2 linked regions of the Oryzias latipes genome follow. The protein of the gene in region 1 interacts with the protein of each later gene in a pairwise test. Links are inferred from orthologs where the notes say so. Each region holds a gene or a part of one and is shown on either strand. Other genes may lie near its edges.

The links. The genes of interacting proteins can lie anywhere in the genome.
Region 2: the proteins of prmt3 (region 1) and rps2 interact in binary tests that used the Homo sapiens proteins (3 or more experiments, as listed by UniProt). The link is inferred for Oryzias latipes from reciprocal best matches to the Homo sapiens genes PRMT3 and RPS2.

The regions. Positions count from the first base shown.
Region 1 is NC_019861.2:6,533,516-6,537,167, reverse strand, and holds part of prmt3 (protein arginine N-methyltransferase 3), read right to left. Parts: intron 2,822-3,652; coding exon 2,634-2,821; intron 1-2,633. UniProt on the Homo sapiens protein: Protein-arginine N-methyltransferase that catalyzes both the monomethylation and asymmetric dimethylation of the guanidino nitrogens of arginine residues in target proteins, and therefore falls into the group of type I methyltransferases.
Region 2 is NC_019866.2:12,348,144-12,352,052, reverse strand, and holds rps2 (40S ribosomal protein S2), read left to right. Parts: upstream 1-1,462; 5' UTR 1,463-1,483; intron 1,484-1,759; 5' UTR 1,760-1,762; coding exon 1,763-1,897; intron 1,898-1,985; coding exon 1,986-2,075; intron 2,076-2,288; coding exon 2,289-2,396; intron 2,397-2,470; coding exon 2,471-2,804; intron 2,805-3,052; coding exon 3,053-3,144; intron 3,145-3,228; coding exon 3,229-3,309; 3' UTR 3,310-3,353; downstream 3,354-3,909. Other genes in the region: rnf151 (RING finger protein 151), read left to right, coding at 8-104, 681-1,148; ndufb10 (NADH dehydrogenase [ubiquinone] 1 beta subcomplex subunit 10), read right to left, coding at 3,762-3,850.

The DNA.
Region 1 (3,652 bases):
TTTCAGTTTTTGTTTTATTGTCCTTTGTATGAAAAACACTGACTTTGTTTGTATGAGGTAATAGAAAAGAAATGTTTTTCTGCATTTTTTCTGTATTTTGTCTTCTAGTGTCATATAAGCCCATGCGGGCTGGGCACATTAGTGTATGACACATAAATAAAATCAAACTCAATCAAACTCAAACTCCAAAAGACTCATTATCTCTGCCAGTTTTCTGTGGGGCTACAAGCACACTATATTACCAAAAGTATTGGCTCACCCCTTCAAAAAATCAGAATCAGGTGTCCTAATCACTTGGTCTGGCCACAGGTGTATAAAATCAAGCCCTTAGGCATGCAGACCGTTTCCTGGCTCCTAAATATTCCATAGTCAACTGTCCGCTCAATCACAACAAAATGGAAGAGTTTGGGAACAACAACATCTCAGCCACCAAGTGTTAGACCACTTTAACTGAAGGAGAGGGGTCAGCAGATGCTGAAGCGCATAGTGCAAAGAGGTCACTGACTTTCTGCACAGTCAATTCCTACAGAACCCCAAACTTCATGTGACCTTCAGATTAGCACAAGCACAGCACGCAGAGAGCTTTGTGGAATGGGTTTCCAGCTGCATGCAAGACACACATCACCAAGTGCAATGCAAAGCGTGGGACACAGTGGTGTAAAGCACTGGACTCTGGAGCAGTGGAGACGCCTTCTCTGGAGTAATGAATCCCGCTTTTCCATCTGGCAACCCGATGAACAAGTCCGCATTTGAAGCTTGCCAGGAAAACGGTAGATTGAGCATTGAGCCGAGTGTGACATTTGGTGGTGGAGGAATTATGGTGTGGGGTTGTTTTCAGGACTCGAGCTTGGCCCCTTAGTTCCAGTGAAAGGAACTCTGAATGCTTCAGGATACCAAAACATTTTGGACAATTCCAAGCTCCCAATCTTCTTGGAACAGTTGAGAGTGGGCCCCTTCCTCTTCCAATAGAACTGTGCACCAGTGACCAAAGCAAGGTCCATAAAGACATGGATGACAGAGTCTGGAGTGGATGAACATGACAGGCCTGCACAGAGTCCTGACCTGAACCTGATAGAACAACTTTAGGATGAATTAGAGCGCAGACAGAGAGCCAGCCCTTCTCCACCAACATCAGTGTGTGTGTGTGTGTGTGTGTGTGTGTGTGTGTGTGAGACCTCACCAATGTGCTTTTGGAAGAATCTTCAAAAATTCCTATAAACACACTCCTCAACCTTGTGGACAGCTTTCCTAGAATATTTGAAGCTGTAATAGATGCAAAAAGTGGACCAATATCAAACTGAGCTCTATGGGTTAGGAATGAAATGGCCCTTCAGTTCATATGTGAGTCAAGGCAGGTGAGCCAATACTTTTGGTAATGTAGTGTATTCTGTAGTGACAGATTCTGAGAATTATCTGCAGTTATCTGTACCAATTTTCTGCACTACAGGGCAGTTGCCAACAGTAGAAAATACAGTATATTACAAAGGGTGAAGTTTTGTTATTGACAAAATACTTCTTTTCAGCACCATTATGCAAATAAATTCTAAAAAGAAGACAAAATAAATCCTACAGTGTGATTTCCTGTTTTTTTTTTTTTTTTTACAGTCTGTCTGTCAAAGTTGAAATGCACCCATGATGAACATTATAGGGACAACTTCCAGAATCAGTGATTGAAAAACACTTTTTTGCCTTACTATATATCCAGTAACCCTTGTGCTATCCTAGGCACTTTAACATTGGGAGTTGGGTTATCTAGACCCGCGGCTAGACAGTGCTCTGGACCATTTTTCTTCAATGATTTGTGATCTTCACTGGTGTCCATGGATTACATGAAATCTTTCCACCTTTATCCACCTTTGTCATTGTAGGGAGAACACGTCAATGTAAGGGTGGGGTCATCTAAGATAGCACAAGGATTAAAGGAATGTAACGTAAATGATTATATTCCTGCAAATTGCACAAAAAGGATAATTATTTAAACCAAATAATTACGTATTTATTTAACACTTGCAATCTTAACATCCTTAATAACCTCTTTTTGAAATGTAGTTATAACTTTCACAAAAAACAGAAAAATAAAAGAAGGTCCTCTTTTATTTGGCTTTAATCCCTGCTTTATTAATTAAACAGGTTAATTTCTGTTAAAATCTCAATTTTCCAGAACTACAGCCAGCCTTACTGGAATGTTATTGGATCGTATCAATGGGAGGCAATAGACGAGAATCCTTGTAATTCAGGCAGAGTTGTCCTATTTGTCTCTGAAGGAAAGAAACTATTGATTAGAGGATTCAAATCCCATTAAATCAAGTTCCACCCTCATTCATCACATACTCAGACATGTGGAGGGCATACTACTTAACAAAGAGGTTAACTGAAACAATCAAACGTGTACGAACTTTCTGCGAAATCCAAGTTTGTGAGGAACATGAAGAAAAAAACGTTTCTCTGTAAACCATTCTACCTGCAGACAGTTAAAATAAGAGTTTCCTTCAAATAACCGTACATGTTACACACATCACCCAGCATGTCTTCCCTAACAACCTCTGAGCCTCTTTCCAAGTGTAAAAAGGCTTAATATCCTGCCCCCAGGTGATTTGATGCATCGTTTTTAGCATTTCCGAGTAAAGCTTCACCTGTATGACTGTTGGCTCAGAGATGACAGTGTCCATCTTCACCACTTCCACCAAAGCCTCTGGTAATGCTGCCTTCTTCATGCACGACATGTTGAAGCCGTAGACGTCATCCCAGAATGCAACACGGTCGTGGTGTTTGTGTTTGTCTCCCACTGCAGCCAGGCTGATGTTACAAAGGTCTGGATAGACTGTGTAGAGAGAAACATAAACAGGAGATTTCTGGGTGCTTTTTTGGTTTATCTGACGTGTTTTGTTTCCATTTTATTACAAATATAATGAATAACAACAGTGATATAAAACAGCAAGTCTGTGTGAACACAGGATTGTCACGCAGATAGAGGAGTTACAAAATAAAATCGACACTTTTGGGAACAATTTTCTTTTCTTGTACTTAAAAAAAAAAAAAAGAATTTCATGACCATCACTCATTTGAGTAATGCATGTGAGAGCGGACTGTTTTAATCCCCCCTTAATTTAAAATAACAGAAACTTTTCCACTGCAAACACTTTTTCACTAATATTCCATTGAAAAATAAACAACTGCCAATCATTTAAACCTGAGCTGAAGGCCATGTCACACAGCTACTATGAACATTTTGCACATTGTTCATGTATGAAACTTTGCTCTTTTGTGAAACATGATATAAGTTATTCATAAGTGTTTCTTGCGTTCGGCATTCGTCGATGTGCGCAGATGTCCATCGAAGGGGCTCAGCCGATGGGTCTGTGCGTGAATTTGGTTATGAGCTGTTCAAATCTTTTGGTCCGCTGAGAATTACACAGTTTATACGTATTTTATGTATATTATTATTGTCAATCTTACGCAACTGTGAGATGCGTACGTAAATTTGTGGCTTTCCCAGACCTTTCCACGTATGTCTAATGGACTTTTACTACAGATGTGTGACTTTTATATTGTGTATACTGCCGCATATGTCGTTCAAACAATGTATTTGACACAGGAATCACTGACAAATTGCATATGAACAACGCAACAATTGCACACGGTTCATGCTCTA
Region 2 (3,909 bases), on another chromosome or scaffold:
CATCCAGACAGCAGACCTGCCCCTGCTGCAGAAATCCGGTCAATCCGAGTTTGATCTTTGTCATGTTCAAGCTGAGCAAATCCATTGGTCGCATGAAGATCAAGGTAGGACGTGAAAGAAAACTGAAGAGCGGCGCTGGGTATCACTGCCTAAGTGCTTAATCTATTCTATTTCAATCTACATGTTCACCATTCAGTTTTTTAAAACAAATATATGATTGTGTGTATGTTCATATGTATTGGTGCATATATTATTTTAAAACTTTAAGTCAGAGTTTACGTAGTGATAAAAATGGTTTAAACTAATGGTTTAAACTAATCCAGCATGAAAATTTTACTAGTAATTTTATGAATTGTTATTTTAGAAATGCAAAAAAAGCTTTTTCTGCCTTAAAAACGGCCTAAAATTGCTTTAAAGGAACTTTTATTAATTGATTTTAGAAATTGATAAACTATAAATCACATACATCTGATATGAGGATTGCGATTTGAACCTAGTTTACCCCCCAAATCCATCACTCAATCAGTTGAAATAAAAAAATAAAATAACAATTTGACAAATAATGTAAATTTTAGCGAAAATAGGATGCCTCATTCACCGTGATTAAGACTCCCTTACTGTGCTTGATGTGTTTTATATCTCTCTTTTCATATTTCTTTTATATTTTTATGTTATTGCAGTGCACAAATGAGATTCGGGGCTGTGCAGAGACTTTCTCCCTCTCAGAACAATACTGCCACAGCTTGAGTTGCCTGTATGAGCTCATCCCCTGCCCATACCAGGGATGCAGGGCACAGCTTCTCCGCAGAGACCTGGAGACTCATGCACGCCACTGCGAGCACTGGAGTCAGCCCTGCAACATGGGCTGTGGTGCAATACTCTCCCACCGCACCCAATCTCAGCACAACTGTTATAAGCAGCTGAGACAAGAGTACGAAGTCAAGCAGAGGAACCACAGGGCAATCGCTGCAGCACTACAGAGGAAGATGAAGAGGATGCAAAGCACAATGGCCCACATGAAAAGACAGCTGGGGCTCATCTGTGAGAGCCTGGAGGGGATGGATGATCTGTATGAGGTGGAGGAGGATGAACAAGGTGAGAGCAGTGGCAGTTCTAATGGGACCCCAAGTGGCAACAGGAATTACTGAGGGTGTCAGCCTGTTATTGCTTTTCTCCATCAATCTCTAAGTGTGATTTAATTTAAAAAAAAGGTGATTGCGTTAAAATGAGTGAATTTACTGATATATATCTAATATTTTAGTTTATTTTTATTATGTAAATAAAGTTTTCAAAATCACAACTTTCCTTTCCTTGTCTTATTCCAGTCTTATTCATAACGTAAGGTGCAGATCATGTTCTTGCAAAGCCGACCAAAAGGTGGCAGTAAAGAGCAACTTTTGCATTAACGCAAATATCGCGAGAACGTCGTTTGACAAAACCCGGCTGAGCCTTGAACAGGCCTTCTTCCTGTCCAAATCATCACGTAAGTCAATCGTGCTTCCATTGATGCTGGCTAGAAATCCACGTTTATCAAACGCATCTTTGTCTTACGGATATTTATTTTTCACACAGAGTAATATTTACATATTATACTCTTGAAATGTCTGCATATTTAACGTTAGATGTTCGTAGAATCACTAATATCGGACATATATGATGTACACAATGAACATGGCGGTAGTCGTGGCTAGTGAAACGTTTAGTAAAACTCTTTAAGTTAGCAACAAAATTGTTTATTATAAATGTTGTCTGTGACTAGCAAATGGCGGACGACGCCGGTGGTAGAGGAGGTTTTCGCGGAGGTTTCGGCGCTGGCGGCCGTGGTCGGGGCCGCGGACGCGGCAGAGGCCGTGGCAGGGGCCGCGGTGCTCGGGGTGGCAAATCCGAGGACAAGGAGGTCGGTATTTTCCCGTTTTGTGTAACCAGTTGGTTAAGCGTAACATTTTCTGTCACTGAGGCTTTCAACGCGTTCTGTGCTCCGGCAGTGGGTGCCAGTCACGAAGCTGGGTCGCCTGGTTAAGGACATGAAGATCAAATCCCTGGAGGAAATCTATCTGTACTCTCTGCCCATCAAGGTAAGGGTTATTTCTGCATTCATGGTAGTCTTGCATGTATTTTGCAAGTTTCCTCTGCTTAAATATTACTGTGTACACAGTTGTCAGATTGCATCCTTTGTGTCATTGAAATATTAAACCAGGGAAAGATAACAAAAGTTGCAGTTTTGGGCTGCAGGACTGCAATTTTGTTCTGAATTTTTATTGGATGTGACTTTTTTTTTCCCTCTGCAGGAGTCTGAGATCATTGACTTCTTCCTGGGTTCTGGTTTGAAGGATGAGGTGTTGAAAATTATGCCTGTCCAGAAGCAGACCAGGGCTGGTCAGCGCACAAGGTTCAAGGTGTGTGTCGGTTAAACAGGTTTTGTTATGTTCACGTTTGATGTCTAAACCTACCTGCCCCCCCTGAACTACAGGCCTTTGTTGCCATTGGCGACTACAACGGTCATGTGGGTCTTGGGGTGAAATGCTCCAAAGAGGTTGCCACAGCCATCCGTGGAGCCATCATCCTGGCCAAGCTGTCAATCGTCCCCGTCAGGAGAGGTTATTGGGGTAACAAAATCGGCAAGCCCCACACCGTGCCCTGCAAGGTCACCGGTCGCTGCGGATCTGTTTTGGTGCGTCTCATCCCGGCTCCCCGTGGTACTGGCATCGTGTCCGCCCCTGTGCCCAAAAAGCTGCTCATGATGGCTGGTATTGATGACTGCTACACCTCGGCCAGGGGCTGCACTGCTACACTTGGAAACTTTGGTAAGCATCTTCTGGATTCTTGGAAAATGTGAACGTTTGATTTCTGGTGTTCTCCTCGCTCTGCTCAGCTTCACCTCTGAAGTGGTGGAGTTGTCGTTATCAGGAGACAAAGAAATGAGTTCTTGCACGACAGAAAGATGCTTTGCTGGTCTTCTCTGTTCCCCTTTTTTGCACTCAACAGTTTTTCCAAAAAAGATATTTGAATCTTTGCAATAGATTAAGTCTCTAATCACGGTTTTCCTCTTCAGCTAAGGCCACCTTCGATGCAATCTCCAAGACTTACAGCTATCTAACCCCTGATCTCTGGAAGGAGACTGTGTTCACAAAGTCTCCGTACCAGGTTGGTACACAACTACAATATCTTATCAATGCTTCACAGAAAGTAAAGTAGTGACTAACATTTCTTGTTTTTTCCTTTTTATAGGAGTTTACTGACCATCTGGCCAAGACTCACACCAGGGTGTCTGTGCAGAGAGGCCAGCCAGTGCAAGCCGCCACCTCCTGAACATTTTCTACAGAGAACAGTTGAATAAACGTTCGGAAAAATGATTGTTTTGTTGTCTTTTATTTGGAGATCATAAGTAAATAGCTGTGGTGATTGTCTTTTTAAATCAAAGTTTGTCAGCCACTTTAACTGAGTGGCTGTTGTATACTAGCATATGGAGGAACCTGCTGGTATTGTATGACCATTACCCTTCAGGTTAAAAGCCTGAATTTCCAAACTGAACAACTTTGACAGCTGAAGATGACTAGTTCAGGCTTTTTTCTGTATTTTAACTTCCAAAAGAATTACTTTGCACCTGTTGTGATAGGTTCATTTACCATTTCCCTCATTGGTAAATCTTTTGAACCTGAGAAATATTAGTAAAACATTTGCATCCAAATTCACATTAAAGTGCACAACTCAGATTATTCACAAACTTTATTTTACAGTTATTACATTTGACATCAGAACTGTTAAGCACTTTGAGCCTGAGCTGCCATCATTCGTTCTTTTTGCTTCATTAAGCATTTCCTCCCACTGGCGTATGCGCCCAGGTCTCCATCTGAGAAAAGGCCATAAATTAAACGCATGTAAAAAGAGTTTGCAATTAAACTGAACAAT